Linked DNA regions of Arabidopsis thaliana. The protein of the gene in region 1 interacts with the protein of each later gene in a biochemical or structural test. Each region holds a gene or a part of one and is shown on either strand. Other genes may lie near its edges. The genes, in order: HIK, SUC1 and NP1.

What was found.
Region 2: of the proteins of HIK (region 1) and SUC1, one has a biochemical effect on the other in vitro, tested with the Arabidopsis thaliana proteins (one study listed by BioGRID).
Region 3: the proteins of HIK (region 1) and NP1 form a complex in vitro, tested with the Arabidopsis thaliana proteins (one study listed by BioGRID).

The regions. Positions count from the first base shown.
Region 1 is NC_003070.9:6,318,950-6,331,207, forward strand, and holds HIK (ATP binding microtubule motor family protein), read right to left. Parts: upstream 5,430-12,258; 5' UTR 5,167-5,429; intron 4,876-5,166; 5' UTR 4,872-4,875; coding exon 4,631-4,871; intron 4,547-4,630; coding exon 4,457-4,546; intron 4,378-4,456; coding exon 4,277-4,377; intron 4,187-4,276; coding exon 4,070-4,186; intron 3,966-4,069; coding exon 3,884-3,965; intron 3,791-3,883; coding exon 3,723-3,790; intron 3,638-3,722; coding exon 3,578-3,637; intron 3,478-3,577; coding exon 3,353-3,477; intron 3,255-3,352; coding exon 3,056-3,254; intron 2,964-3,055; coding exon 2,853-2,963; intron 2,768-2,852; coding exon 2,666-2,767; intron 2,574-2,665; coding exon 1,602-2,573; intron 1,524-1,601; coding exon 1,195-1,523; intron 1,111-1,194; coding exon 783-1,110; 3' UTR 501-782; downstream 1-500. Other genes in the region: AT1G18360 (alpha/beta-Hydrolases superfamily protein), read right to left, coding at 1-255; AT1G18390 (Serine/Threonine kinase family catalytic domain protein), read left to right, coding at 8,514-9,270, 9,480-9,514, 9,714-10,370, 10,471-10,986. UniProt on the Arabidopsis thaliana protein: Probable plus end-directed motor protein that functions in the NACK-PQR (ANP1-MKK6-MPK4) MAP kinase signaling pathway, which is essential for somatic cell cytokinesis, especially for the cell-plate formation and its expansion.
Region 2 is NC_003070.9:27,050,675-27,060,042, forward strand, and holds SUC1 (sucrose-proton symporter 1), read left to right. Parts: upstream 1-3,355; 5' UTR 3,356-3,659; coding exon 3,660-4,919; intron 4,920-5,005; coding exon 5,006-5,069; intron 5,070-5,208; coding exon 5,209-5,426; 3' UTR 5,427-5,790; downstream 5,791-9,368. Other genes in the region: SUC5 (Major facilitator superfamily protein), read left to right, coding at 7,818-9,074, 9,163-9,226. UniProt on the Arabidopsis thaliana protein: Responsible for the transport of sucrose into the cell, with the concomitant uptake of protons (symport system). This transport is both voltage- and energy-dependent.
Region 3 is NC_003070.9:2,887,405-2,898,795, forward strand, and holds NP1 (NPK1-related protein kinase 1), read left to right. Parts: upstream 1-3,616; 5' UTR 3,617-3,706; coding exon 3,707-4,003; intron 4,004-4,119; coding exon 4,120-4,161; intron 4,162-4,257; coding exon 4,258-4,323; intron 4,324-4,423; coding exon 4,424-4,534; intron 4,535-4,613; coding exon 4,614-4,694; intron 4,695-4,777; coding exon 4,778-4,855; intron 4,856-4,995; coding exon 4,996-5,078; intron 5,079-5,219; coding exon 5,220-5,301; intron 5,302-5,382; coding exon 5,383-5,483; intron 5,484-5,594; coding exon 5,595-5,634; intron 5,635-5,718; coding exon 5,719-5,778; intron 5,779-5,862; coding exon 5,863-5,912; intron 5,913-6,010; coding exon 6,011-6,230; intron 6,231-6,346; coding exon 6,347-6,517; intron 6,518-6,610; coding exon 6,611-6,963; coding exon of another isoform or gene 6,964-6,991; intron 6,992-7,225; coding exon 7,226-7,296; intron 7,297-7,488; coding exon 7,489-7,583; 3' UTR 7,584-7,778; downstream 7,779-11,391. Other genes in the region: AT1G08985 (AP2/B3-like transcriptional factor family protein), read left to right, coding at 1-230; PGSIP5 (plant glycogenin-like starch initiation protein 5), read left to right, coding at 1,349-2,096, 2,234-2,700, 2,864-3,349; AT1G09010 (glycoside hydrolase family 2 protein), read right to left, coding at 7,855-8,589, 8,742-8,969, 9,137-9,781, 9,862-10,066, 10,153-10,322, 10,436-10,666, 10,777-10,825, 10,901-10,959 and 2 more. UniProt on the Arabidopsis thaliana protein: May be involved in an oxidative stress-mediated signaling cascade that phosphorylates downstream MAP kinases MPK3 and MPK6. May suppress auxin signaling that promotes cell cycle.

The DNA.
Region 1 (12,258 bases):
TTTCCGCCTAATGGCTACTTCCTCATCTACCACCGTCGTCGTCGGCGAAGAAGGGGAAACACCGCAACCAATGTTCATCTTCCTCTTCTTCTGTGATGATTTTAACCTCATCGGAAACGCCTCCACCGACATTGATGATCGTCGAGTAGCTATGACACTAATCGGAACATCATTTCGATTTTGAATCCGGTTTAGTAATCTGGGAAATGAGCTTCTAGTAGCAATTACGACCGTTCCTTTACTTGAACAGATCATAAACAAAGAGAATTCAAAGACGATTTTGTATCGCCTTCTTCTGAAATTTTGAATGGCCAAAAAAAACAAAATTTGGGGTTTTTCAGAACAGAGAAAAACTCAGAACTAAAGAAGAAATTTTTTGGAGAAGCAGAATCGACAAGACAGTGAAGCAAATTGGAAAGTGAAAATCTTTCTTAAGGAATGATTCGAGAGAACAACATTAACATTTAAATAATATTTTGATTTTTTATTTGTTGGTTAGTAGCTGAGATAATTATATGGTTGTCCAGCGAAAAAGACGAGGAGAGTCTTCCAAATATGCCACGTTGGCACATCGTTGTTTCCAATAAAACGCAGTGTTTTGGACAACTTTTGGTTAGCAGTTGGACTTGAGGGTTTAGCAAGCTTGTCCTCACAAGGTTTAAGAAATCTAGACCACTATATTAAACATAATCAGACGAGTCTGGTAAAGCTTATTTAATCAAATTCAGAGGAGACAAAGAAGTGTCGTGTACTTTTACAAATCATAAACACACAATAAGTCTTCATAGGTGAAGAAGATTAGAGATGTTGTCCCAACCAATGTTCCACTGTCTTTTATCTGAAGGCACTGCGAAATTGAGCTCAAACATCTCTTTAGAGATGTTGCCACTTTCACAGAATCCAACTAGCTTCGCAACTATCTCTGCACTCTCTTGCACGTGCCTTGAATCATAAGGATCAGTCCATAGCTTGTTCACGAACTGAAGTTTCCTCTGTTTCCCTTCCAATGGCACATCCCATTTCATATACAGCTCCTCTCTCTCCTCAGGCGTCAATCTCGAGTTAACCCTTTTCGCCAAAAACTCTCGCTCTCTTCTCAATGCTTTTATACTGAAAACGAAACAAGACCATATTAGTTGAAGAAACTTTTACAACAACATTTTTCCAAGTGAGAGTTATTCATTCATTCATTACCTTGATGATAGAGAAACCACAGATTCATCGCAGTTTCGAGCTGGAGTTGCGTTTCCTACTTCTGCTAGATGTTGTTCTAACCAAGTTAACCGTCTTAGCTCGACTTCCATGTAGATTTGATCGGCTTGGTCACCTTTGAACAGTAGGTAGAATTGTGTCCTGTGGATTATGGAGACATGGCAGACATGCCACAGCTCTATGATCTGTTGTCTTTCCTCTATGAAAGTTATATGCCACGCCACTTGATTCTGCTCTTCATCTTCCATTATCGTGTTCTCCTCGTTCTCTACACTATATCCAGCTCCATCATTTGCTTCCAACTCAAGCACCTGCGTAAGTTCAAAACTGATGAGAAAATATAAAAGGAGGAAAAAAGGTTTATTTATGGGTTGTGATCTTTATCTAACCTGACAAACGAGAAGTTGTTTCTGGTACTGTAGTTTAGCTACTCGTTCTTTGAGTTCGGTTACGTATGCTCTTATGCTTCTTACATTCTCCTCTGCTGCGTTTTGAAACATTTGCTGCATTTTCTTCATGTTCACTGAGCTTGATCTTCTGTAGCCTGGAGTACCTTCTCTTGACGAGACATCTCCGCTTTCTTCTCCTTTCTGTGGAGTCTCTTTCTCAGACCCCTGTGGTGTCGTCGCCCCTCTAGCTGCAGAACTGTTGTTTTCTTGAGGAGCTTTGTTCTCAGCATCACAATCCAAGACTTGCCTAGAAGCTGAAAGCGGAGAGCATGGAGATTTCAAGAAGTTCTGGCGGTTGGATGCGCTGCTTGGTGTCAGAGGAAGAAGCTTCTTCTTCTTTGATTGATGATGATGATTCTTTGTCTTTGGAGTCTCATCTCCAGCACTGATATTGCTCGGAAGAGACATCACCAACTTATCTATTGACTTCTGAACGCTCTCAAGTTGCTCCTCTAGATTCGCAATGGTGCTTCCTTGTGAATGGAGCCTTGTTATCTCTTCCTTGAGATTGGCACTTACGCTCTTGTTAGGAGCTATGACATCTCCAACCTCTTTAAGCATTGCAGATGGTTTAACAGTACGCATTTCCCTTATCTCTGCTTGAAGCTTAGCTATCGTCTGAGCTGCATCTTGATTCCCTAGTCTATGGCAAGCTACTTCCTTTTGTAACACTTCAAGGGCTTTCGTTGCTTCCTCCCCTAACTGTTCTTGAAGGTGTTCGAGTTTGCGGATTTCATGCATCAATGTAAATGGAGCAGTTGATGATTGCCGTATCATAGATTGGCGCATCGTAGTCTTTCTTGCTCTCTCATTCCGGTTTAGCGTTTTGTTCTCCGAGCTAGGCGTTACGGCAACAGAATAGGAAAGACATTTTCTGACCGGTGGGTCTGGAGATTCAAAAGGATTTAAGCCCTGAGATTCAACAAAAGGTTTAGTTTAAACTTCAGCCAACGCTTGTGAATATATTTAGTACAGTAGATAGACAGAGAGGTAGATTAAGAGACCTTATTTTGTTGCTGATCCCCTTGAAGCTTTTGGCGTAACTCCTCAAGTTGAATTTGTGCATCATCTCTTTGTCTTCTAAGCTCTCCGATTTCCATTTCCATCTGAGAATGTCACAAAATAGCCATAAACTAAGTACCAAAGCTTTGGTTCAATTATATATTTTGGTGATCTGAAATGGACAGAAACCTGCTGGATCTTGAAATCCTTTTCTGTCGATGGACCAGGGGTGCGACGCTCGGCCTCCAATCTAGCCACTTCTTTCTGAAGATGTTTCACTAGTTGCTTATCAGAGACAACCTGTAGATAATAGACAGGAAGTAAATATTTTAGTTTGTTTTCATCCAAAAGGGCACTAAGATGAACCAAAAGCATGGAACAAAGATCATTACCATGTTCACGTGGGCATTGTTTGTAACTTCCTTGGCTCGGTTGGCGAAGTATAGAGTATTTCTTGATTGTTCAACATGAGCCAAAGCTGGACTCAATGTACATATAATGGCTGTTCGAGCATTCCCACCTAGTGAATGCTGTAAAATCCTAGTAAGCTTGGAGTCTCTGTAAGGTATATGGCCGCTTCTTTTCCCCACACTATGAAGAGTTCACAGATTCAGATTAAATAAGTTTCTTACTTAAAAAGTATTTGAGATTGAGATTTTAATCTCTCAGAAAATATGTAAGTACAGTACCTTAATTTCCTTATGACAGTTGTAAGTGTCATTAGACTTAGATTGATATGACAACCTTCCCTGAGTCTCGTTCCATCTGCCTGCGATTGTGATGCTCTTTCGCTTCCTGCTAAGTCCACAAAGTTCTGCAATACATTCACACACACACACGCACTAAGTCCACAAAGTTCTAGTTAATCATTATGAAAAAACAGAGAAATTGAACAGAGAGGGATCAATTTTTACCAGACTAGCCATATATGACCTCACACAATCTGAATTTTCGCGGTGAGTACTTTGTATTGTCTGTTTTGCCATCAAGAACATGTTATTAGCATTTGCAGAGTATATGTATCTGTGTTTTAAAGAATCAATGAATTAAGATCATTACCAGTCTGATTATTTGGTGTGACCGCGAGCTAGTATCATTCAAAGCAGTTTCTCCAACTTGTCTTTGAGCTAACACAAAGAAAATAAACACCAACAGTCAGTCTTACTATCCAGAATGAACCAGGAGAATAGAATTACAAAAAGCCAAGTAATTCAAGTTACCTTCACAAATGCTAATCAGATGCCGCAAATGGTTATCGTTATTAGCTGTTTCTTCAACCAGTTTTTCAACCACAGTACCTTTCTGCAATTGTGGATAAATAGGTTATTAGATCAACGAAAGTCTAGACTGAATCAAGGACATAACATCAGCAAGAACATAATCAATGTATAAAATTAGTATGATACCTCTGGATCATCAAGGAGTTTAAGGGCACGTCCCGAATCTGAATTGAGCAGATCTCTGACATTTTCATTATATATTTCCAGACCAGAAATCTTGATAGTAAAATCTCTTTCAGGGGTCTGGAAACAACAGTGAAACAAATAAAGGTATTGGTCAGAAGAACTGCATTTGACGTCTAAAACATTGACTCTGACCAAAGCAGTGCTTACCTTAATTATGTGATTGTAAATATCATTGACAGCTTTCTCCGTTACTCCTCTCATGGTATATGTCTTTCCACTGCTTGTTTGTCCATATGCAAATATTGTTGCTGAATCATTAAAAAGGGAAGTTAGTCATCTATGATAAATCCGAGTAAAAGACAGAAGAATCATTAAAAAGACAAGTACCATTTATGCCCATCAAAGCAGACAATGCAACATTCTTAACACCATCTTCATACACATTCTCTGTTAAACTCTCTGGTCCAAAAACTTTATCTGAAATCAAAAGAGTGCATTATTAGCCATCAAAAACCGCAGGACTTGAAGAGTTGGAAACATCAGATATAAAACTTCAATTACCAAATGTAAATGAGGACTGATGATGCAAACGTTCTTGAACTTGTGGTTTAGACACAATGGTGTGGTCATTTACACATTCCCAAGCAACTTGGTCTTTAGCTAACAGTTCTCTCTTATTCATTGGCCTTAACCTTACAGTAACAACAATCTTCTCTTCCCTGGATCTTGAGCTTCCACCTGGTGTTACAGCTGGTGTTCTGTCCATCTTCGAAACCGGAGTTCCCGGTGTTTTTATAGTCATTTCCCTACAAAATATTCCCAATTTTTTCATCAGATCTAATAGATCAACTTAATTCTAAGCTTAAATTCTCCCCCAAATCTATCAGATCTATGGAAAAAAGTTCATATAAGGCAACATTGTGCAGACTTAATCCATAAAAAGGTAATCTTTAGTTTTTGCTCATAAAAGGAAAATTTAGCTTCTTCAGATTAATTTCATCAAATCCAGAAATGTTATATTCAAAACTTCCTAAAAACGTCATTTCACTAAATAGTTCTAACAAAAACAATAGTTAAGAGAGATCAAAAACACTTACAGAGAAAAAAACGAACAAATGAATCGGAGTTTTACTCTCAGATCAAAGAGAGAGATCTCAGGCAGCTAAGAATGTAGAATCGTCTCAGATCGACGATAGAGATAAATTAAAAGAATAAAAGAATATTGAGAGGAGAAGATAGTGAGAGCGGTTTCTGGGTTTCGTGTATCTTTGTGGTAGAAATGATGAAGAAGAAGAACGGGTTTTGGGGGTTCTTTTGTCTTTACGGAAACCCGTGCAGAGTGAGATTTTGAATCTGACGAACCTCTAACGGCTAGTTCTTTCCACGTTTCTTTTGAGGGGCTTTTATTTTTAGCTTATTTCAAAAGCTCTCCCCACGTTTTAATTTCTTCTAGAAATCACCTTTACCTCAATTTTTTCCATGGATAATTTTCTCATTTACTGTTTCTGCAAATTTTCTCTATAGATTTTTTTTTTTTCTGTCAATTATCATTTCATCTTTAATTATTACTTCGGTATTTTGTTTTTTTTCTTAGCTGCCAATTTTGATGTATTTTGTCTTCTTGTAATTATTATTGGCCCTTAACACAAAACGGTCATTTATTGTTATTTTCTTTTTCATCCTCTACAATTTTAATTTATTTGCAGATCAAGCGGGAAATAGTAACTACTAACCAATTTGGCGTATAAAAATAGTAAACTACGTTTACACCCTCATTATACTTCACTAGGCAGAACCTCCCCTCTATTGCAGCAAGTGGGATTGGAATATTATTATACGAGTCTTTGAGGTGTGGAGTCAAGGTCTTCGGCATGAGATTTTGAAATATCTGCAAGCCTGTATATTTCGTTTTTTATAGCAACTTTAGTTGAATATGTGTATACAAATATTAAGAAAACAACATAAATGGATAAATAAACTCAAAAGATAACACATGTATTCTCATTTTCCTTGGTCAAAAATTCAAACTTCAAAAAAAAAAAACAATCAATTCTCCATCTCTTTGCTATTTATTCAATGGTGTGTTTTTGATTGGATCACAAGTCTATCATTCAGTTGACTTCATAATAAAGTATATCAAAACCATGTTCACTCAGATTTTGATGCAATTATATGCTATTGGACTATTTCACCAGTCTGCAATTTCTTTTACAAAATTATGATTGAAGTCCTTAGTGAGGTTTAATGAAATACTAACATAAATTTTCACATAATACTCTTTTGTAATTCGATTAACGTTTTTTTTTCTTTTTGTGTATAATCATCAGTTCTCTTCATTCCTTTATATATATAATGTTTTCTTATATTCATCAATTTTATAAGTTTGCAGTCCTGTTATATATTGGAAGCATAAAATCGCAGTGGAATTTTCAAGAAAAATTGTTGACATACTTAAAAATGTTCTTTTGGGTCAAAGAATTAAAATGTTTATAACTTACAAATAAGTCATTAATTAACCTTAGTCGAACAATTGCATTTGTATGTAACTATGAAGTCGATATTTATAGGTATCAACTATCAAGTCGCTTTCAGTCTGTCCAAAAAAAAACACACTATAGTTTCCAACAAGTCAAATAACCATTAAAGATCTGTATGAATCTCTGACCGTTCATATACATAAATAATTTATTTAGGATGTAGTTATAATGTAATCACTAATCAGCGATCATAATCTGTTTTAAATTCGCCGGACTGTAATTAATAAAAGTCGTCACCGATCATTTTGACCAATCTTCCATAAAATCCCCAAAACCTCTCACCAAAAAAAAAAAAAGAAGGCTTTAGTTGTCAAAACCCAATGTCCATCTTTTTTTTCTTCATCAGCTTCGTCGTCTTCTCCGTCGCTGACCTCCCGTCGTGCTTCTCAGCCGATCAACAGTACGAGGAGTGTCGCTCACGTAATCTGACATGTGGATCTGGACACAGGGTATTCGAGAGTACCACGTATCCGTTCTGGGGTGGATTCAATAAACCCAAATTCTGCGGTCATTCGTCATTCAAACTCTCCTGCGAGGGTGATCAAAACCTAACCCTAGCGATCGGGAACATCACTCTTCGCGTTGTTTCTGCGAATCTGGAGGATCATAAAATTTCCGTTGCCGATGATAGTCTACTAGACGGAGGTTGCCTAAACATTTGGAACTTCAACGGGAAGAATCAGTTCACATTAGACTCCAACACCGAGACGATCGATGTATTCGTCAACTGTTCCGGCGTAGCTCCGTTGCAGATTTCTTGCGAAGAAAGCTACGAGGATCCGGTGACATATCATGTCTTGCGATCGTCGGATTCTGACGAAGGTTGTATGAAATATGCAGAAATTCCGATGCTGAGGTCTGCTAAGGACGAGCTTCAACGGTCCGAACTAACTTTTGTGGAAGCTTTGAGAAAAGGATTCGATTTGAGGTACATCATGGAAGACAAAGCTTGCCGGAGATGCATTGATTCCGGTGGGATTTGTGGTTCGGCGTTAGATTCGGAGAGTTTCCGGTGTCTATGTGCGGACAGACCTCACAACTCCTCCTGCGACGATAACACTAACCAAGGTTAGTCGTTTATCATTTAGATTCAAGCTTTTACTTCTTCTAAGATTAGTACCACTTTTCTTCTAAGATTAGTACCAATTTCTGTTCTTGATGTGATTAACATTTAAGATTAGTTTCGTCAGACTCCAGAACGTATACTTTGACCAAATTGGTCGAGAATTGTTATCGTCATTGACCAAAACTTTTAATAATCTTTAAAGACACATTTTGACTTTTTCAACCTGGATTTACGTGTCCAGTTTTCTGTTTATCATTTGTCCCAAGTATTTATGTGGTAGTCTTCGCTCCAAAAATATTAGGGATTACACAGCTGGTGTTTTTGTAGCGCGAGCATGCTGCTGGATCAAATCTTGGGCTTTTTGGGTCGAACCTACACTAGTTATTATCGATCCGGTTTTACTTTTTCATGGTCGGTCTTAGAAGAAGCAAAAAAACGACTTTTTAATTTTCTTGCGTTTGAAGTTTCTGCTAGTAGACCGACGACGACTCTAACCGACCCTCTCTTGAAAAAATCTCTTTTTACACAAAATCCATTATACTTCCACTACAATGATTTTTCCAGTTTAAAAAAATAAAGAGCACTAAAATTCCCATAAAAGATTTTTTTTGTGGGGTCATCTTCAACCTCAAAGGCTCAAAGAGACAAATTAAAAGTTTCAGTTTTTAAGTCAAATTGCAGTGTTTATTTTCTTTACACCAAGAAAATTAGTATTATACTCTTTCAACACACTAGTTGAACAAACATTTTAACTCTCACCCACTCCTCCTGAAAATCTTTGATTTCTTTCTGTTTTGTTCTCTTCTTCTTGTTTCTTCTTCATCTAGTTTTTTCTTAAAAAATGAATCCTTCAACTCCAAGTTTACTCTACACATCCATCTTCTTCTACTTCACAATAATAGCAACTCAAACCCTCTCTCTTGATCCAAAGTTCAAGGCTTGTGAGCCGAAATCATGCGGCAAAGGTCCCCAGATCTCCTATCCATTTTATCTATCTGGAAAGCAAGAATCTTTTTGTGGTTATCCAAGTTTTGAACTCACTTGTGATGATGAAGAAAAGCTCCCTGTTCTCGGGATCTCCGGTGAGGAATATGTCATCAAGAACATATCTTACTTAACACAGTCGTTTCAGGTCGTGAACTCAAAGGCTTCTCATGATCCATGTCCCAGACCGCTGAACAATCTTACCCTCCATAGGACTCCTTTCTTTGTGAACCCTTCTCATATCAACTTCACTATACTTTACAATTGTTCCGATCACCTGCTGGAGGATTTTAGGACATACCCTCTTACTTGTGCTCGAAACACGAGTCTTCTTCGATCTTTTGGGGTCTTTGACAGAAAGAAACTTGGAAAAGAGAAACAAATTGCATCCATGTCGTGCCAGAAACTAGTGGATGTTCCTGTTTTAGCTAGTAATGAGTCTGATGTGATGGGTATGACTTATGTTGAGATTTTGAAGAGGGGTTTTGTTCTGAATTGGACTGCAAACAGTTGCTTCCGCTGCATCACCAGCGGCGGGAGATGTGGAACTGATCAACAAGAATTCGTATGCTTGTGTCCTGATGGACCTAAACTTCATGATACTTGCACGAATGGTAACCACTTGTGAATTGACGTCTAATTGATCTTCTGACATGTTGTCCCTTCCTTTTTCTTTGCTTTAGTTTTGTCAATACATTGTTAAAGGCTTTTTTACAATCTCTGACTGGTTAAGTAACTTTTAGTCTCAATCTATATGTTCTTACGAATGCTGAAATCTGAAAGTCCATTGACTGGTTTATTCTTCTCTGTTTCTTCATTCCAGGCAAAAATGATAAAAGAAGGAGAGTGATAGTGAAGGTACTCATAGGTAAAATTCTTTAATCTTCTGTTTTGGGAAAAAGACTTTGATATGTGGTTATAATAACTAACCAGTATTTTAATAGATTCGATTTGATTTATGATGCTCTTCGCACCATCAAAAGATATAAAATTCTACTTTGGCAAAGTTATGTTATGCTCTGTTGTTTCGTTAATCATCCCGCTCAAGTTTTAACAGATTACAAAATCCATCTCAGGTGCATCCGCTGCGGTCGTAGGATTAATAGCTGCGAGCATATTTTGGTATGTATACCATCGTAGAAAAACAAAAAGTTACAGAAATTCTTCAGCATTGCTTCCAAGAAACATCTCATCAGATCCATCTGCAAAGTCTTTTGACATCGAGAAAGCAGAGGAATTATTAGTCGGAGTTCATATTTTCTCTTACGAAGAACTTGAAGAAGCCACTAATAACTTCGACCCATCTAAAGAACTCGGTGATGGAGGCTTTGGTACTGTCTATTACGGTAAGCTTAAAGATGGACGAAGCGTAGCCGTTAAACGGTTATACGATAACAACTTCAAAAGAGCAGAGCAATTCAGGAATGAAGTTGAGATCTTAACGGGTTTACGCCATCCAAACCTCGTGGCTCTCTTTGGATGCTCCTCAAAACAGAGCCGGGACTTACTGCTAGTGTATGAGTATGTTGCAAACGGCACGTTAGCTGATCATCTACATGGTCCACAGGCAAACCCTAGCTCACTTCCTTGGTCTATTCGGCTCAAAATCGCTGTTGAAACTGCCTCTGCCTTGAAGTATCTCCACGCCTCCAAGATCATCCACCGTGATGTTAAATCCAACAACATCCTTCTCGACCAAAACTTCAATGTCAAGGTCAGTAACTCACACTGGTTATTACTCAATCTGGTGGGATTTTATCGGATCATAATCTTAACTTCTTTCTGTGTTTTTTTTACTGTTTTCGACATTTTAGGTTGCGGATTTTGGACTCTCTAGACTGTTTCCTATGGATAAAACGCACGTATCTACCGCTCCACAAGGAACTCCGGGATATGTCGACCCGGATTACCACTTATGCTATCAACTCTCAAACAAAAGCGACGTGTACAGCTTTGCGGTAGTGTTAATGGAGCTTATCTCTTCACTTCCAGCAGTCGACATCACAAGACCGCGCCAAGAGATCAACCTCTCGAACATGGCAGTCGTTAAAATCCAGAACCACGAGCTCCGCGACATGGTGGATCCGTCACTTGGGTTTGACACGGATACAAGAGTGAGACAGACGGTGATCGCTGTCGCTGAGCTGGCGTTCCAATGCTTGCAGTCGGATAAAGATCTTAGGCCATGTATGTCGCACGTGCAGGATACGTTGACGAGGATACAGAACAATGGATTTGGTTCGGAAATGGATGTTGTAGATGTGAACAAGAGTGGACCGTTGGTTGCACAGTCTCCAGATAGTGTCATTGTGAAATGGGACAGTAAGTAAAATTAGTCGCACGGCCACTAACATTGTATGTGTTTATTATTTGTATGTTTAAAATTGTCAGTTAACAGTTAGAGAATGGTGTTCGTGTTCTGTATTAGATGATATTTTTGGGAATGTATATAATGATGATCTTGTTCCGATTCCACCTAGAGAGGGACCGTAACATACAAAACTTCGTGATTGGGCCTGACCGGACTAAATCAGCAATTTTGTATTGCTATTTGCTGCCAACTGAAACTATTTTTTTATTAGTGGTTAATTTTATTTTTTTACGGAAAAGGTAAAAATATTTGAGACATCAAAATAATGATGGTAATTAAGTAACGCCAGCTCAGCGACGGCGATGACTATCCACCAATTTAACGTCAGAAGAATATATATATGTATATTGAGCTTATCTTCTGTTTCCAATGTAAGTGGAAAGTCCACTGCTGCAATCACAATGTAAGACCTGCATCTATGAAGTTTTAATGAAAGACACTTTCAGAGAAAAAAAAAAAAAACTTCTGTTTCCAAAATTTCCTAATTAAAGCACACCAATTTGGGCATGGATGCTTTACTACTTCTATTAATGAACAAGTTAAAGAGTAAGTTGTCTTGAATGAATGAAATTGCATGTGAATCAAATCCCTCCACCATACATAATAGATAATCTATAGTAATGGCCCAACTAAACATTGACATTTGTTGCAACCTAACTCTTTCCTAAAAGGAAGAAAAAAAAAAAAAAAAAAAAACTCTTTCCTAAAACTCAATGTGTTTGATCATCACAAGGACAAACAAAGGAAATCTCTAGTATGCCGATTAAAGTGAAAATTTGTCTTCACCAATATAAATAATTTGGTAACTTAAACTTTAACTAAAGATTCATAAATTGGCGTCAACTTATGTAAAAGAACCTTCATATATACTTTCGTTTATCTCCCTATATTTTTATACATACACATATTTATAGTATTTTTGTCGATTAATTGGCATTGGCCATTTGGAAGTTATAATTAAGTTGGCAAATGGATGTGATCTCTTACCCTATACACCTACATAAAAAACCCTCCATGCAAAACATTAATGGATGTTTTCATTAAAACAAGTTTTGATATCAACTTAGTTTGACTAGCTACATCCATTTCAATATTTTCTTCCCAATATTAATAATAAATTTAAAGATAGACCACTAGTTCTTAACCTCACACCAAACTGACTAGAAATGTTCTTCCCCCTTGCAAACAGAGAAAGCCTAATGGAACCCACGACCAAACATTGGTCCTACTT
Region 2 (9,368 bases), about 21 Mb from region 1:
CGTCTTTTTCGATTGTTAAGAGTTACGTTGAGTTGAAGTAGTTAAAAACTAGTAACTGTTTGAACATTAAACATGTTATGTGAAGCAAAACATAGATATCGAATAGACTTATTCAACGAGATCTTAACGTGGTGCAGAGTGAAATATTTAATCGTTGTGCGACGAAGGCAGTTTTGAAATATTGTTATCTATTTTTTTTCTTGTTTATGTTTTTTCAGCTAATATTATTTTGGATGAAAAATCGAAAAGTATAAGCCGTTCTCTCTCTCTCTCTAAGAATGTTATTGTTAGCTAGCATTCTCTTCGTTCTGTTTTTCTTTTACATTATTTTTATTGATCTCTTTTACACTTCTATAGTGTTCTAAATGATTAATATTGGATCTTCCAGTGATTAATATGTTGACTAATCTCATAGAATAATATGGTGAATAGTTGAACTTTAAAAGAAAATTAAGCAAAAATACTCATTGCCGAGTCATATTCAACTACGAGTGCATAATGATGGGGCGAACCACGATCTCGTTAGGCTACAACAAACTATAATCCTCTCTTGGGGTCCCGATCCCCGACCCTATAATTTCGGGAAAAAAAATTATAATTTCATTTTGACAAAACCTTTTGAATTTTAATAATTCATGTTACCTGTATTATTGTCATGTCCCTGAAACTATAAGGAAATGAATTGCATTGATCTAGTGTCCACTTTGTTTTGCGGGATACATTGATTTTATTTCATAAAGTGGATGTAATTTTTCTTTTACTTAATGAGTCATGAGTAAATAAATAAAAACGCTACAAAAAGTGATGCAAATGTTTTGAACCTTGTTAATGATGTTTAATGCTGTATATTTGGCTAAGGTCATATAACATAACATTTGGTGATTTATAATGATTTATATTTTGGTAACTAATTTCTCATGCATATATCACATATAGAAAGATATGTCTATATATATAGAAAGATATATATATATATATATATATATATATATATATATTTGTACTCCATTTGAGGGTATTTTCTGATAAAATATTTCATAGTCATTCACCTAACTAAGTTCCAGAATTTGGTTATCTACCTAATTGAATCTTGAATTAAGATTGATTATTTATATATAAACGAAAAAGAGTACGTATCCTATGGATATTTCTATAATTCCAAAAGATAATTTAGGTGGCCTTAATAATTACTCTTGCTTCTTCTTCTTCTTTAATATTTTGTATATATTTTTCTGTCATTAATATTTTGAAATTATGTAATGTACCATATAAACTTTTGACATTATGTTTTCAGATATATTCTTCTGTGGTTACACTAATATTGATTTGTTTTCCGAAAGGCATTCAAAAAAAACAAACGAAAATAGAGAGAAAGTCGCCCTCGAAATATACGTTGCTTTTCTTTTCTTATGTGAAGAATAGCTTCTTCTTCTTTGTGTCTACTATAAACACTAATAATCTTTTTTTAATATGATTATTTTTATTTATTTTTGGGCAAAATGTTTTTTTAATATGATAGTATTACTATATATTTAGGTTGATCGGAAGTTATATCCTCTCTCATTGGCCTATTTTTGACTGTTATTTTCTCTATCCAAATATATCTATCAACATTGAATCCTGCCTTATTTTATCGATTCCCAAAACACAGCTTAACCAATTTGGTTTTATTTCAGTTAAGTTTTCGGTTCACAACCAATATGTTGGAGTGTTACTAATCAGATAGACGGGTAAAATAAATTGTTTGCACAACCTATTCATATAGTTAAAATAAGCGAATAGAGAGATAATTGAAACTACAGTGAAAATTAACAACAAATGGAACATACGTCCAAGTAGTTGAGACTTGAGGAGTAGAAAGACAACGTAAGGAGTTGACAAACATGTGAGCCATTTGAGACTAATTCACAGACAACTAAAATCCAAGAGTTATACTAGTAAATGCTTTGGTTATTTTAATATATTTTCAAGTCGTCTGCCCGTTGAAAACTGGAGAAAATGTATATAGAGTACTATTCAGCTCGAAGACAAAAATGTAGTGACTAAAATTAAAATGCTTAATTGGTCGGATAAACAATCCAAAATAAATGGGAAATGAGTTTTGAGTTGCGATCGTATCTTGCATTACAAGAAGCAAATTTTAGGGTTAAAGTTTCTGTCACATAACTCCGTTACACAATTCGCTTAATTTTGGATATTTGACAGAAACTAATTAATATGTAAACTTTAATATATATATTGGATTTTAGGCAATTTAACAACTAATTAGTGGCGGACAAATACTGATTATTTTCCCTTTATATATATATATATATATAATTGAATGCTTCTATATTTGTTATTTTGTTGTCACAATGTTTTTTTTTTTAAAAAATTAAATTTGATATCCTTCAGTCCATCACTAGTTAACAACATTGCCAAAATATACTATCTTTTCGTCGAAAAAAAAACTCACCATACAAACTAAGTGATTTTTCAGTAGTTTGTGATCAATGCAAAAATGATAAAATTAATTTAATGTTTACAAAGCTGATGTTGGGTCGAAAGACTTGGACGTCAAGGATAACATTTGGTTCTAAAATATATGGACGTGAAAGATAGCATACCATCTTTGGGACTGTTCGGATAAGAATGTGTGTGCATTAGTTTTGGAAAGTGTTTGGCCACTCGGATCTTTTTGTGATAATCTCCAGACTATGAATATTGCGGAAATATAATCCATGATCAGAGAATATTTGGCGATGCTTGATCCATGACCGTAATTGGAGCCGGATATGTTATGATTTGATCTACAACTATTATTACGCTAGATAAGCCAATTAATTATGGTAGGTGATCGTGAATATAACTTCACTGTCCGAAAAAGAATAGTGTATATGTTGCCCTGAACCATCTATCTCATTAGGTGCTATGAACTAGTGAGTTTTAAGTATAGAGGGTGCATATAAGTCGTTTTTCCATCTTAAATCAAAGACATTTCTTAGTATCTTCTAGATATTTCATTCTTTTAGTACCATATAAATTAGGGATTTGGACAATTCACAATTATTTATTTTAAACCAAACAAAATAATTGTTCTCCGATAATCAGATGTGACTTATGTGATATAGTACATATAAATATACACACTGTTTAAATTTGTCTACCCAATCGGAATCATAGAAACTTTATTGTTTACCCAAACAAAACGGTACTGAATATCGGAACTTTTTTTATTAAAAAAAAACTGTGAGAGAGAAATTGAATCAACGTCCAAGTCACTTGATGCAAGAAAAAAGCGAAACCAATTAAATTCCCGTAAAAACAGAACACAAAAGAACAGGAGAGTTAATGTTCTAACTGACACGTGTCCCTACCTTGCCATACACTCACACAATTAAAATTTCTAACTCTGTCTCTTATCCGAAAAATAATCATCTCCAAGTGTAATAAGAAAATCAAAATAAAACTCTCATTTCTTCTTCTTCCTCGCCTATAAATACAACTCCATTCTCTCATCTCCTACATCACAAAACAAAAACCTCACTTAAAAAAAAAAAACAGAAGACAGAAAAAAACAAAAAAAAAAAGAAAAAGAAAAATAAACAAATTTTCTTTTCTTTTTTTTCCTCTAAAGTTTCTATTTTGTCTATTCGTGTTTTTTTTTTTACTTCCTGATAATGGGAGCCTATGAAACAGAAAAACCAACTAAAGATGCGGCGGCTCTAGAGACACAGTCGCCGGAAGATTTCGATCAACCATCTCCGCTTCGTAAAATCATCTCCGTCGCTTCCATCGCCGCCGGTGTACAGTTCGGGTGGGCCTTACAGCTCTCTCTTCTTACTCCGTACGTTCAACTCCTCGGAATCCCTCACAAATGGTCATCTCTCATTTGGCTCTGTGGTCCAGTCTCCGGCATGATTGTTCAACCAATCGTCGGTTTCCACAGTGACCGATGTAGGTCCAAATTTGGTCGCCGTCGTCCTTTCATCGCCACCGGAGCCGCACTCGTCGCCGTCGCTGTTTTCCTCATCGGTTACGCTGCGGATTTCGGTTATAAAATGGGAGATAAACTCGAGGAGAAGGTTAAAGTTCGAGCTATAGGGATCTTTGCTCTCGGGTTCTGGATCCTCGACGTAGCCAACAACACCTTACAAGGACCTTGCCGTGCTTTCTTAGCCGACTTAGCCGCCGGTGACGCTAAGAGAACGCGAGTCGCAAACGCGTTTTTCTCTTTTTTTATGGCGGTTGGAAACGTTTTGGGTTATGCGGCTGGTTCGTACACTAACCTCCACAAGATGTTTCCGTTCACAATGACAAAAGCTTGCGATATCTATTGCGCCAATCTCAAGACTTGTTTCTTCTTATCCATCACTCTCCTCCTCATCGTCACCGTCACGTCTCTTTGGTACGTTAATGACAAACAATGGTCTCCGCCGCCGCGAAATGCCGACGACGACGAGAAGACCTCAAGCGTTCCTTTGTTCGGTGAAATCTTTGGAGCATTCAAAGTCATGAAACGTCCCATGTGGATGCTTCTAATCGTCACGGCCTTAAACTGGATCGCTTGGTTCCCATTTCTTTTGTTCGATACTGATTGGATGGGTCGTGAAGTGTTCGGTGGAGATTCAGATGGAAATGAACGATCGAAGAAACTATACAGTCTTGGAGTCCAATCTGGTGCAATGGGATTGATGTTTAACTCTATAGTTCTTGGTTTCATGTCACTTGGTGTTGAATGGATTGGTCGGAAATTAGGAGGAGCTAAACGGCTTTGGGGTATTGTCAATTTCATCCTAGCCGCTGGTTTGGCCATGACGGTTCTCGTTACGAAATTCGCCGAGGATCACCGGAAAACCGCCGGTGATTTAGCCGGACCGAGCGCTAGTGTTAAAGCTGGAGCTTTAAGTCTCTTTGCTGTTCTTGGTATCCCATTAGCTGTAAGTACACTTTTGTGTTGTCTTGTTAAAAAACTTTTTGCTTTGCTTAAACTAACATTAATCGATTCGTTTTTTATTATTTACAGATTACTTTCAGTACTCCTTTTGCTCTAGCATCCATATTCTCAAGCTGCTCCGGTGCAGGCCAAGGTAAATATATACATCTTTAATATTAAAGTTACTAAAGTTACAAATATGTGGGACCGTAACTATTATATTTTGGTTTCATCCACCTTATGCAATTATAACATAGGTATTTAAATTGTTTTTGTGATGTTTTGATTTACAGGACTTTCATTAGGAGTTTTAAATTTGGCGATTGTGATACCACAAATGATAGTCTCACTAGGAGGTGGACCTTTCGACGCCTTGTTCGGCGGTGGAAACTTACCGGCGTTTATCGTTGCAGCAATTGCAGCGGCGATTAGTGGAGTATTAGCGTTAACCGTTTTACCTTCACCACCACCGGACGCACCCAAGGCAACGACCATGGGAGGATTCCACTAGTTTACTATTTTTTTTTTTTAATGAAACTCATCAAATACAGTATTACTGTGCGAAACTGCAAAAACCCAAATAAAAGAAAAGAATGGATAAAATGATAAAATCTAATAAACCTTGGGTCGTCTGTATTTCACCCTTTTTTAGTTTTTTTTCTTCTTTTTTTATAACTTTTGTCACTTATTTTAATTTGAAATAGAATGTTTTTTTTTTTTGCCCTTAAATAAGATTTGTGTGTTGAGTACAATTGTTTACTGTTTGCTTCGGTAGAACAAATATCCAACTAGAAAGTAATTCCCTCTACCCTCAGAAAAGAAAATTTTGATAATAATGTATGGCAATTCTTTTATATATAGGGAACAAGTTGAACAATTTATGTAGTTTAGAACGGTTTAGGCGATAAATAACCATTAATAATACCAGTTAAATTAATTAATATGATTAATAATTTTAAAAATACTTATTAATAAATATTAAAACAATTCTCATGTAAGTACATAAAATATAAACCTAGAAGATATTAAAATATTAAATATTAAATAAGAAACCTTAAATATTCTTGCAAACAACTAGTCCAATCAATATGACATTTTTGTATTCTATAAACACACTGTATTATAATATAAACTATACAGTATGTTTCTTAGCACAGTATGACACTTAACAACTTGATGATTTATACTAGGCAACAACCAATGTTTTTGAAGATCATACAATATCATTTATAAGTATATCATTTTTTATATTACAAAATGAAAGATTGTTTTGGTCAACAATATGCGGGCTTGAACCCTCAGTGGCGATACAACATTTTACATATCTATATATAAGTTTTTTCCACCAATTTTTAGAATATTTGCCTAAAATATAAGAATGTTTATACTGCTTAATTAGTGAGTAAGAACAGGTAGTCCATATCCATTTTATACAATTCGGACTCAGTTGTCACGACTTCGTTAATTGGCAACTTTGGCAAGTATGTTGATTTCAGAACACATCGAATCAACAAAGGACAGTCTATTGTGTTAAGTTGCAAACGATCAAAACAAGGCTGGCGTAACATAAATGAAGGCCTTTGGGCTAAATAAATATAATAGATACATCAAAATACAACTTTCAATTTGGACAGACTTGAAGCCTTCTATAATTTGGCCTGGATCAATACTCCTTTTAAGACTAAGGTGTATCAGCCCAGTCTTTTGATTTTTGATTATTTTTTTTGTAAACCGAGGCAAGATTTTTGATAGGCAATAATCCTACTTTATAATACATTCGGAGTGTGTATTCAATTAAACATTTTAAATGATTTGTGTTAAAATAACAAATTCAGCCTCACAATTTAATGTTAAGGATACAATCATATCATCCTTTCATTACCTCTTATGCAATTTACCACAAATGATTGAAACCTCTTATTCAACTAGAGGTTTTGAAATATTGATATATATATTTGGATTTTGTAAATAATTAAGGTTTTTAAATTATGTCATTTAATTATTTGAAAAATGAGGGTAAATAAGATTTTGTACATGACTTTTTTTAAGGAGTTTTAAGTTTGGCAATTGTGATACTACAAATGATAGTAGTGTGACAGTGTCACCTTGGATTCCATTAATTTTCTATGTTCCCTTTTCATGAAATTCATCAAATAGACAAATACAGTATTATTGTGCAAAACCCAAATAAATGAAAAGGTAAAATCTAATAAACCTTGGACCGTCTATTTCACCCTTCTTTTAGTCTTCTTACTGACTTTAATTTGAAATAGAATTGGTTTTTGTTTTTGGCCTTCAGTAAACATTGTGTGTAACTAAAGTCTTCTTTTGTTAACAAGAAAGACCCAGAAGATCACACTAGAGAAAATAAGTCCTTTTTATGGCACTTCTTTTTGAATTAGATGGGGGAAAAGTTGAATTACTTTACTTTATTTTTATTTAGGTAAATAAATTACTTAATATGACTTCAAAAAATAGACATTAAATAAAATTTGTTAAACTTAATTAATTTGATATTTGATTAATTCAAATTACTTAGAAACATTTTAATTCTCATGTAAAGATACTGACCAAAAAATATTAAAAAGTATATACTACTAAAATAAGGACGTCCGTTAAATTATAAACCTTAAATATTCTTGTAAACAACTAAGTTTAGTCAACTAAAAAAAACAAAACAAAGAGGAGTTAATGACCTACTGCCACGTGTCCTCACATTGTCATGCACTCACACAAATGAGATTTCTAACTGCGTCTCTTATCTGGAAAATAATCTCATTCCTTCTTCTTCCTCGCCTATAAATACAACTCCAATGTCTCATCTCCTACATCACAAAACTAAATCCCCACTTTCACAACAAAAAAACTCTTTTCTTTTTGTCTGCTCGTTTTTCTTTTCATAATGGGAGCCTTGGAAGCAGAAAGAGCCGCCAACAATGCTACGGCGTTAGAGACACAGTCGTCACCGGAAGATCTCGGTCAACCATCTCCTCTGCGTAAGATCATCTCCGTCGCTTCAATCGCCGCCGGTGTACAGTTCGGGTGGGCCTTACAGCTTTCTCTTCTGACTCCTTACATACAACTCCTCGGGATCCCTCACAAATGGTCGTCTTACATGTGGCTTTGTGGTCCTATCTCCGGCATGATTGTTCAACCGATCGTCGGTTACCACAGTGACCGATGCGAGTCCAGATTCGGTCGCCGTCGTCCTTTCATTGCCGCCGGAGTCGCACTCGTAGCCGTCTCGGTTTTCCTTATCGGATTCGCGGCGGATATGGGACATAGTTTTGGAGATAAACTCGAGAACAAGGTAAGGACTCGAGCCATTATAATCTTCCTAACCGGGTTTTGGTTCCTCGACGTGGCTAACAACACCTTACAAGGACCATGCCGTGCTTTCTTAGCCGATTTAGCCGCCGGAGACGCTAAAAAAACGCGAGTCGCAAACGCGTGTTTCTCCTTCTTTATGGCGGTTGGAAACGTTTTGGGTTACGCTGCTGGATCTTACACTAACCTTCACAAAATGTTTCCTTTCACAATGACAAAAGCTTGCGACATCTATTGTGCGAATCTCAAGACTTGTTTCTTCTTATCCATCACTCTCCTCCTTATCGTCACATTCTCGTCTCTATGGTACGTTAAAGACAAACAATGGTCTCCACCTCAAGGAGACAAGGAGGAGAAAACATCAAGTCTTTTTTTCTTTGGAGAAATCTTTGGAGCTGTTAGACACATGAAACGTCCCATGGTGATGCTTCTAATTGTCACGGTCATTAATTGGATCGCTTGGTTTCCATTTATTTTGTATGATACCGATTGGATGGGTCGTGAAGTGTACGGTGGAAACTCAGATGGAGATGAACGATCGAAGAAACTTTACGACCAAGGAGTTCAGGCTGGTGCATTGGGATTGATGTTTAATTCTATACTTCTTGGTTTCGTGTCACTTGGTGTTGAATCGATTGGTCGGAAAATGGGAGGAGCTAAACGACTTTGGGGATGTGTGAATTTCATACTCGCCATAGGTTTGGCCATGACGGTTCTTGTTACTAAATCGGCTGAGCATCACCGGGAAATCGCCGGTCCTTTAGCCGGACCGAGCAGTGGTATTAAAGCCGGAGTATTTAGTCTCTTTACCGTTCTTGGTATCCCATTGGCCGTAAGTACACTTTTGTTTTGTCCTTTTGTTTTCTTTACAATTTTAGGTTTGTAACCGATTCTTTTTTCTTGTGTAATTATTATGACAGATTACTTACAGTATTCCATTTGCACTAGCGTCCATTTTCTCAACCAATTCCGGTGCCGGCCAAGGTAATTTTCATTTATTTAAAATGTTAAGTTACAAATCTAATGGTCAGATTCTGATAATGTAGGACATATTAGCATTTATTGAGTTCAAACGTTTGATTTGAATAATTAATTGAAAAGATTATGTTTCCAATTTTGTGTATTA
Region 3 (11,391 bases), 3.4 Mb from region 1:
GAGATAAGGTTGAGAACATAGTAAGAAGCACGGGAGTTCCAGTACCTCGAATGGGTATTCAAGTAGAAATTCTAGACAATACCAATTCCTATTGGGTAAATCTTAGACAAAGCCAAAGAGGTTATTTTATCGGACGTGGGTGGGGAGAACTTAGAGATGCAAGAAATCTTAAAGCAGGCGATGTCATCAAGTTATATTGGCAAAATACCAAATTTATATTTTCTATGTAATTTTATTTTATTTCTTTTACCGGGAATGTTATCTTACATTCAATTCAATTTCTTAATAAATCTATTTAACTAATCTTTTGTCTAATAATTATATCTTGGATGGTTTTATATGTTTCATACAAAAAAGTTGCATTTCAATTTGTCATCTAAATTATGGATATTTTGTTAGATTTTTTGTTTTGGATCGATACAATTGTTAGTCAAAATAAATTATGTTTTGACAAAATAAAATAACTCTCATGTTATATATAATAGATTGTGACCTGCGTCTTAACACTAACTCAAATACTTACCATTGACGATTATGTTAACACATATATGTATACTATAAATTCTTTATGTTTCATTTTATATATTGTTTAGAGTTTCAGCACATAGATTAATAAATCATTTAATTTGTTGTTTTTCCTATTTCAAATTATGTTTGATCTACTTAAAAAAATTATCCAACGAAAAAACAAACAGCAGAATTTCAAGAGTCAAAAACTATAAAATAGTAATAATTTTTATGATAAAATTTGAAAGCAATTTTTGTTTGCTTCTACAACTTTTATAACTTTTATAATAATTAACCCAATAATCAGCTTGTATGGGCCATACCTGATCATCACCTTATAGCGATTGATATAGATTTATCAACCGACTAATTAACAATAAATAATTTAAAATGCGATTTGAATGATTTCGTCCACGTTAACGACAACAAATTCACGTAGCTATAGCCAACAAAATATGTTATAAAAGCATAAATGAACTACCAATGTTTGTTTAATGTTTGATATCGCTATTTAAAAACAAAACAATCACAAGCTTGGTCACCAATTTGATATATATCCGATACACCTGTACCTGTTGTTCAAACTAATTCTTAATTACAACACAAAACAGGCGCCTAACTTGCGCATGGAAGTTTATTACACAATTATTCGTAGACTCACCTAACGAATTGACTTCTACGCCAACGTGCGTCCATGCATCTCAAGATCCTTCTTCAATCATACACCCATGAATTCGCACATATACGTTGATGTATATGAGATTATGAAAAATTCACGTACACATTACATGTATCTTATAGACATCGCTAAGAGCATAGAGAGAGAGAGAGTTGGGGGAAAATGGGGGCCAAAAGCAAAAGTTCGAGTACGAGATTTTTTATGTTTTATCTTATACTAATATCATTGTCGTTTTTGGGTTTGCTCTTAAACTTTAAACCTCTGTTTCTGCTCAACCCCATGATCGCTTCTCCTTCGATAGTTGAGATTCGTTATTCTTTGCCGGAACCGGTTAAACGGACTCCGATATGGCTCCGACTCATTAGAAACTATCTTCCGGATGAGAAAAAGATCCGAGTGGGTCTTCTCAACATCGCAGAGAACGAGCGAGAGAGCTACGAGGCAAGCGGGACGTCGATCTTGGAGAATGTCCACGTGTCGCTCGATCCTCTTCCGAACAATCTGACATGGACGAGTTTATTCCCGGTTTGGATCGACGAGGATCACACGTGGCACATTCCTAGTTGTCCAGAAGTCCCTCTCCCTAAGATGGAAGGTTCCGAAGCTGACGTGGACGTCGTCGTTGTCAAAGTCCCGTGCGATGGTTTCTCGGAGAAGAGAGGGTTAAGAGACGTTTTCAGGCTACAGGTGAATCTGGCGGCAGCGAATCTTGTGGTGGAGAGTGGTCGGAGGAATGTTGATCGGACTGTGTACGTTGTCTTCATCGGATCTTGTGGGCCTATGCATGAGATCTTTAGGTGTGATGAGCGCGTGAAGCGCGTGGGGGACTATTGGGTCTATAGGCCTGATCTTACGAGGTTGAAGCAGAAGCTTCTCATGCCTCCTGGTTCATGTCAGATTGCTCCGCTAGGTAATTTTGGCTTTATTATTCATAGGTCAATATGTTTTCTTCATTTATTTATTTATTTATTGTCGCATGCATGATGACATAATGCATAGTTAAAAAATTCCAATGTTTCGCTAACTATTTCTTATTCGTTGTTAAAGGTCAAGGAGAAGCATGGATACAAGACAAGAACAGAAATCTCACATCCGAAAAAACTACATTATCATCATTTACTGCCCAACGTGTCGCTTACGTGACGTTACTACACTCATCGGAGGTATACGTATGCGGAGCAATAGCCTTAGCACAAAGCATAAGGCAATCTGGATCAACCAAGGACATGATTCTCCTCCACGATGACTCTATAACCAACATCTCTCTCATTGGCCTAAGCCTTGCTGGCTGGAAACTACGGCGAGTGGAGAGAATTCGTAGTCCTTTTTCCAAGAAGCGTTCTTACAATGAGTGGAACTACAGTAAGTTACGTGTGTGGCAAGTGACAGATTACGACAAACTAGTGTTTATAGACGCAGACTTCATCATCGTCAAGAATATTGATTACCTTTTCTCCTATCCTCAACTTTCTGCCGCTGGCAATAACAAAGTCTTGTTCAACTCAGGAGTCATGGTAATGCATCTAACTAACAAATATCTTTAACAATAGATTGTTTGATTTGAATATGTTGACTTTTTTAAGTTTCTAAAGATATTGCCTTATCAATCCATTTCTTACTATTTTATTTTATCGAATTTTCCATATGTTTTATATAAGAAAGTCTGGTTTTCTTCAGGTTCTGGAGCCATCAGCTTGTTTATTCGAGGATTTGATGCTTAAATCATTCAAGATCGGGTCATACAACGGGGGAGACCAAGGATTTCTGAACGAATATTTCGTGTGGTGGCATAGGTTATCAAAACGTTTAAATACGATGAAATACTTTGGTGATGAAAGCAGGCATGATAAAGCGCGCAATCTTCCAGAAAATTTAGAGGGCATACACTACTTGGGACTAAAACCATGGCGATGTTACAGAGACTACGATTGTAACTGGGACTTGAAAACGCGACGTGTGTATGCAAGCGAGTCGGTGCATGCGAGATGGTGGAAAGTGTACGACAAGATGCCTAAGAAGCTGAAAGGTTATTGTGGTTTGAATCTTAAGATGGAGAAGAACGTTGAGAAGTGGAGGAAAATGGCTAAGCTCAATGGTTTTCCTGAAAATCATTGGAAAATTAGAATAAAAGATCCTAGGAAGAAGAACCGTCTAAGTCAATGAGAAGAGTCATCAAACTCGCTTATTCAACAAGAGACTTAATTTTTTTTTTTTCTTTACGTAAAGATTTTGAAAGGGAATTTAATTTCTAACAGGTAATTGTGGATTATGAAGGAAAAACATTATACGTAGTTATGATATATATTTCGTTCGAGTGAAAGTATTTTTAGTTTTTTACAAAGACTAATAACCATACTTTTATTTGGAATAATAATATGCGTAATTTAAGTAAAGTAATTTTCTCTTTTCAAAAATATAATTTCGATGCCTTTTTTCCCTCTCACTCGTTAACACTTTTGTGCCGACCGATGAATCAAAATTAGAGTAACAGTGAAACGCATTCTTCCCTCAATCGTTCAAATGCAAGATTTCTTCGGCTCCGTTCGTCGATCGCTTGTTTTCCGTCCTTCTTCCGACGACGATAACCAGGAGAACCAGCCTCCGTTTCCCGGTGTTCTCGCCGATAAGATCACCTCTTGCATCCGCAAATCGAAGATTTTTATCAAACCCTCCTTCTCGCCTCCTCCTCCTGCTAACACTGTAGACATGGCACCTCCGATTTCGTGGAGGAAAGGTCAGTTAATTGGTCGCGGCGCGTTTGGTACGGTGTACATGGGTATGAATCTTGACTCCGGGGAGCTTCTCGCCGTCAAACAGGTAATTTAGGGTTTGTTTTTCTGATTGCTGTGGATTTGAAGCTAATTGGGACTTAATTTTGAATGACCTAATTCTCTGGCATGTGTACTGAACTTCAAAAGCTTTGTTCTACTCAGGTTCTGATTGCAGCCAATTTTGCTTCCAAGGAAAAGACTCAGGTTCATAAACAATCCATTTCATCGAGTTTTCCCTCTTTCAATTTCCATTGATTTTTGTACTTCATTGAGTTTGTTATCTGTGTTGGTGCTAAGTAGGCTCATATTCAGGAGCTTGAAGAAGAAGTTAAGCTTCTTAAAAATCTCTCCCATCCTAATATAGTTGTAAGTAACTGTTGGTATTGTCTCCTTCTCAATGCATACGGATTCAACACTTCCTTGTGTTATCTATCTAACTCAGGTATTTTTTATTTTCTGGCCTTAGAGATATTTGGGTACAGTGAGGGAAGATGATACCCTGAATATCCTTCTCGAGTTTGTTCCCGGTGGATCGATATCATCGCTCTTGGAGAAATTTGGACCTTTTCCTGAATCAGTAAGTCATGCTTGGATTTTTTTTTGTTCAATCTCTTACAATGTGTGCATTGCTTAAGTGGTGAGAACGATTGAATTAGGTTGTCCGGACATACACAAGGCAACTGCTTTTAGGGTTGGAGTACCTGCACAATCATGCAATTATGCACAGAGACATTAAGGTAACAATTTTTCTCCATACTTTATAAGTGCTTACAATCTCGAGTCCTTACCCATGAGACTATATGTTTCTATGTTTTCTCAGGGGGCTAATATCCTTGTGGATAATAAAGGATGCATTAAGCTTGCTGATTTTGGTGCATCCAAACAAGTAGCTGAGTTGGTAAGTCAAAAAATAATTTGTTTTCTACAAAGTATATTGCAGGAAGCATTCTGTTCTGTGTATTCTCTTATTTCTTAGTTGGTCTAGTATAACATATCCTTCAGAGTGATTTAATGTGATTGACTTGATTTCATCTCTAGGCTACGATGACTGGTGCAAAATCTATGAAAGGGACACCATATTGGATGGCTCCGGAAGTTATTCTTCAAACTGGACATAGCTTGTAAGAAACCAAGCGTGCTCGTAAATGCAAAATTAGATGTTTTGTAACTGATACTCATACAATTGTGGCTATTAATTGTAGTCCTGGTGACTTATGTCCCATATTTTTGATTTCTCACAAACCTGTGGCTATTGTTCTCAGCTCTGCTGACATATGGAGCGTCGGCTGTACAGTTATTGAAATGGTGACTGGGAAGGCTCCTTGGAGTCAGCAGTATAAAGAGGTAATTTGTTCGTATTTCTGGTGATATTTTTTCGTGAATAATTTTGCTTCTTAATTACAAGTGGACATACTTTCTTTTCAGGTTGCTGCTATCTTCTTCATAGGAACAACAAAATCACATCCTCCAATACCTGATACTCTCTCCTCTGATGCAAAAGATTTTCTGCTCAAGTGTCTGCAGGAGTAAGCTACTTTGCTTCAGCAACATTAGTTTGGAACTTTTAATAGTAACTTCCTTCACTACTATTGTGTCTTGTCTTTGGAATTGCTGAATCATTGGATCCGTCTTGACAGGGTACCAAATCTGCGGCCAACCGCATCTGAGCTACTAAAGGTGAAGTATAAATAGTTTGAGTGATGCCCGCAATATTAAATTGGAAAGGTTTGAGTAAAATTCCTGATTTTGTTTTATTCGCAGCATCCTTTTGTTATGGGGAAACACAAGGAGTCTGCTTCTACTGATCTTGGTTCTGTCCTGGTGGGTGGATGTTAACCGTCTTATGAATATCATATAACTTTTTCTTGAAGCCATCTTGATAAAATTATTTTTGTTATTTTCCAGAACAATCTTAGCACTCCACTACCGTTACAGATAAATAACACCAAGAGCACGTAAGTTCTGAATATCTGGCTGAAACCAAAATTTCTAAGATTATTTTGTGGGTTTATGAAAGATTTTGATGGTTTATTGTCTGTTTCCTTTGTTTCAGTCCAGATTCTACTTGCGACGATGTAGGTGACATGTGTAACTTTGGCAGTTTGAATTATTCACTTGTAGATCCTGTGAAATCAATCCAAAACAAAAATTTATGGCAACAAAATGATAATGGAGGTGATGAAGACGATATGTGTTTGATAGATGATGAGAATTTCTTGACATTTGACGGAGAAATGAGTTCTACCCTTGAAAAAGATTGTCATCTGAAGAAGGTAGCATACATATGATTTCTCATTTAGAATTCCAATGGCTGATCAAGTCTCAACTCTTGTTTGGATCATGTTTCAATTTGTTTTGTAAGCATTACTTATAAAATCTATGTGTACAGAGCTGTGATGACATAAGTGATATGTCCATTGCTTTGAAGTCCAAATTTGACGAAAGTCCTGGTAATGGAGAGAAAGAGTCTACAATGAGCATGGAATGTGACCAACCTTCATACTCAGAGGATGATGATGAGCTGACCGAGTCAAAAATTAAAGCTTTCTTAGATGAGAAGGTCCCTCATGCACATTATACTACATTATTCATTGTCCTCACTGCATTTTCTACGTAAATCACTAACATGGCAGTGAATATGTATTTGTCTCAGGCTGCAGATCTAAAGAAGTTACAGACTCCTCTCTATGAAGAATTCTACAATAGTTTGATCACATTCTCTCCCAGTTGTATGGAGAGTAATTTAAGTAACAGTAAAAGAGAGGACACTGCTCGTGGTTTCCTGAAACTGCCTCCAAAAAGCAGGTCACCGAGTCGGGGCCCTCTTGGTGGTTCACCTTCAAGAGCAACAGACGCAACTAGTTGTTCCAAGAGCCCAGGAAGTGGAGGTAGTCGTGAATTGAATATTAACAATGGAGGTGATGAAGCTTCACAGGATGGTGTATCAGCACGGGTCACAGACTGGAGGGGTCTCGTTGTTGACACTAAGCAGGAATTAAGCCAGTGGTTAGTGGCTGCGATAATTGGGATTTAAGTTTTAAGGATTTAGACATTTCCTTAATTTCCTCTTTTAGAAACTCGGTAGGAATCAAGAAGACAGAAATAAGTCCCATTCATGCTTATCTTAAGCTATGATCACCCAACTCCAAACGTGTAGAGTTTAAATTCAGCCTAGCTATTGACCAGCAACGATTTAAATCTGTCACTTAGTCTAGGCTTCTTGTTTCATTCCTGAATCTGCTTGAATTGGCTGGTTTTGGCTTTGCAGTGTTGCTTTGTCAGAGATAGAGAAGAAGTGGAAGGAAGAGCTTGATCAAGAACTGGAAAGAAAGCGACAAGGTATGTCACTCTTATTAATCTAGCAAAAAAATGTCAAAGATTCTCTTTAAGTTTTACATATTTAGAATTTAGAATTCGGCGCTTTGCATTGACCACTGTTAACATGCAATCATGTAATGTTGAGAAACATGACATTGTAGCATCCACTTTTTGTAAGCTTGGTAAGTTGACTTGTGGTTTATGTTATTGCAGAAATCATGCGCCAAGCAGGGTTGGGATCATCCCCAAGAGACAGAGGCATGAGCCGACAGAGAGAGAAGTCGAGGTTTGCATCACCAGGAAAATGACTTGCACAAAAAGTCTCCGGCTTTTTGATTTTTGATTGCTCAACTAGTATATATATCTGTAACTCTTATCTTGCTGTGATGAAAAGTAGACACGAGGTTTGGTCTGAATATATGATTCTGAACTGGTTGTTGAAGGTATTAGATGTGTGTAATGTGAGTGTCGGGTGCATATTTAAGTGCGCTACAAATTGCTAAAACCTGTGCAAGTTTCATTTATTGAAAGGTTCGAGATTACAGGCAGTTATGTAACAAACATGAAACATGAATAGTCTCAACCAAAAACACTAAACCTATCAGGGTAGTTCCAGCCCTGAAGCATAACACGAGGAGACTTCTTCATGCCTGTAGGAGCTGCAAATGAGATCTTAAAAGACATTGATTCACCTGGAACTAGTGAGAAATAGTTGTCTGAGTAGTGTACTGGTAGAATCCTCGTATCTTGTTTCTCTGTCTCTGCATTGTGAACTGAGAAACGAAGGAAGAAAGCAACTCCTGAATCCGATCCCTTCATTTCCACTACTTTCAAACCACGGTTGCTATCTGCAGAAACAACACATCTACTAAAGAGTTTCTGGAGCAACCCCAGATCACGTTTTTCGTCTTCCTGGACAACGTTTTTGGCTAAGTTAGCTCTAGATGTGTTATGAACATTGACCTCCAGCTCATATCTTGAACCCACCATAACTGCATTGCAAGTGATCTTGAGAGGTATTTGCTTCTTCCTGTACGGCTCCAAGAGTGTGTAATTTTTTCCAGGCAGATGCAGCCAGTAGAAGTTCCGGGATATAACTGCTTTGTCTGAGACAGTGTACAGTTTGAGAAGAAGGAAATATACATGCTTTGGGTTTGCTGCTTTCGGATACTTGAATTCCGATATTTTCACAACTTTCTTTGGTGGGGCAGAGACAATTTTAAACACTTTATAGTATGGGCAGTTCCCGTCTAGGTCCCATACTGATGCCTCTATTGCCACATCCGACAGCTCTTTAGAAGTCGTGTTTACAACCTGTGCGGGGGGTCAAAGGACATGATTCCATGTATTATTTACATAATTTATTAGACTTTTATACACTTCTTATTTAGATCAAGAATCTAATTTCGAGAGACCTTCGTACACAGTGATTGTCAGAGAGAGAGAGAGTAACTAATCACACTGACCTCAACAAAGTAACTTGCCAGGTTCAATTGTACATGGACTGGCTCTGCAGCGGAACGGCAGCCATAGAAACTGGCTGTTTGGTCGAGAAGATGATCGTAGAATTGACCTCTGAGACCAGTCCATGGATTTTGGTTCTTCCAGATCAAGACACCCGTGTACTTCGTCCACATTTGCGAACTCCAACCCTCGAATAGAGCTCTGTACTGAATGTAGTTTACCAGTTGAGCCTGTTACAGAGGAAAAACCAAGTCATAATATATCACTTATGATCTCAAGTTTCTTTTATTAATCGAACATAGACATTGCATTATTAAGTTAAGGGGAAAAGTAACATTTATGCACCAGGGTAAGACAACACCAGTAAAGGCTAAAACGGTTAAGATCCCAAATTTACCTTCAAGCAGAAGTCATCGAGATTCTCTGGAGTACCGTACATCAGAATCTGGTCATGCACTTTTCCAGGATTAGAATATGGAATGTACTTGTGATAATCCCACATTCGATTTGGCACTTCTTTAATAAACCCGTCCAAACCCTTTTTGAACAGAGGAATCGTCCAACCTTCTGGAGGCATTGTCGCTCTTATCGTCTCTGCAACTGGCATTCCAACCGAGCCGACCTCCGGATTGAACCCATACTTGTAATATGTGTCTTTAAAAAAATCTTCAGGGTATTGAATCTCATAAGGGCCGTCAGTGAAGTTCCCCTTTCCATCTGCAAAGCCGTCCCACATAGATCCTTGAATATAAACTCTAGTACCGTCAAGATAAACACTAGGATCTGAATCTTTGTCTGATAACAATTGGGTTTCAAAATAAGAATGAAGCCTAAGGTCTTGCTTTAGAGCCTCATTTATGTCTTTTGGCGGAACTTGTTCATTTCCACCCACCCAAAGAGCCAGGCTTGGATGGTTTCTCAGAAGTTTGACAGTATCACGAGCACATAAGAGGAATAATTCATGGTCTAGTGGTCCATTCGGATTTGATACTGGAACACCTCTTCCATCAACATCGCCAGTGATCCAAAACTCTTGCCACACCTGAGAATAAATAAGGTATACTTCAGAAATGGCAATGAATTTTGGAAGAAGGGTGATAGCGAATAACTTAAGATTCATACCAACAAGCCGTAGATATCACAAAAGTGATAAAACTCTGGCCTTTCAGCCAACCCACCGCCCCAGCAACGGATCATGTTCATGTTCATATCTGCATGGAATTTTATGTCGGTTCTGTAACGTTCTTTAGAGAGACGTAACAGTCCATCTGATAGTATCCAATTGCCACCACGGATGAAGATCGGCTCTCCGTTGATCTTGAACAGCCTGGAAAATTAACAAAAACAAGTTGTAGAGCCTCCACAGAATCATTCTACACAAGCCAAACTGAAACTGAAATATAAAAAGTTTACCTTCCACCAGTAACACTATCAATAACACTCTCAATCTTTCGGAATCCAAATGGCTGCATCCACGAATCAGATTCTCCGAATTCATTCACAACAACAGTGATCAAGATGTCATAAAGGTTTTGCTTTCCCATCCCGTTGGGCCACCACAATTCAGGTTTATAGAAATAGAGCTGTTAATTCAATATTTCATTAGTTTCTAGGATAAACAATACCACCATCACAGATTCAGAGCCATAAGTAATTTAAGTCGTAACAAGTAATATACGATAACAATACCACTCACTGGTTTAAATGTGTGCTGAATACGTCCTTGAGCAGGGATCAAAACATTCTCTGTCTGAAGATGCTCTACTAAACAGACACCGTTTTCGAGTTCGGCTGTTATTTGAATATTCACAGAACATTCAGTATTCCATGTGCTTTTGTTTTCCAGTTCAGCAGTCACATGCAAGTAAGCTCTCTTGTAATCGTCAAAGAAGGTTGAGACCAAATGGGGATCAATTATTCTTACAGGCTGCAATAAAAGCAATTTATAACATTCAGTAAGAAGATGACTATAAACGTTCCGTGGAGAATATTGATTGATATCATCTCTGGAAAACAATGTAAACCAACTAAACGAACCCCGGTGACAGATATTGACACTTCATCCCATATGCCAGTATTCCGGTCCCTAGAAGAAAAAATGTTGTCAGAGAGAAATGCCTTAAACTATACGATAAGCTAAATCTTGTAACAAAAAAATAACCTTATTGGACAAATCCAGTCCCAACCTTGCACATACTGTGCAGCTACATCTTTTCCAATCTGTCATGGATAGTCCAATCACAACGCAAAGAAAGAAGAGTGATATAAACTTCCAAGAGAGAGAGAAGGAGGGAGGAGGTGTACCTCATGATCACCACCTTGGCCTCCCTCGGGAGGTATAGTCCCAGGATGATCTGGGGGATGAACAATAAGAGCAAGTAAATTGCTCTCAGGATGGAGAATATCAGTGACGTCAAGTGTATGTCTGCGAAACATCCCTTTGGGAAGCTCTGTCTTGTGGCCATTTACAAACACTTGTGCAGAGTAGTTGATGGCACGGAAATTCAAATGCACGTATTGATTCAATAACTGCAAAACCGTCAAAACAAAATATGAAAAGAAGACACAAGAAAAATAGCAATTTCGACCAAGAGAGAGAGAGGGTGAGGGTGGCCCACCCTTTGACATTGGAATTTAGTGAAGAACCAGAAA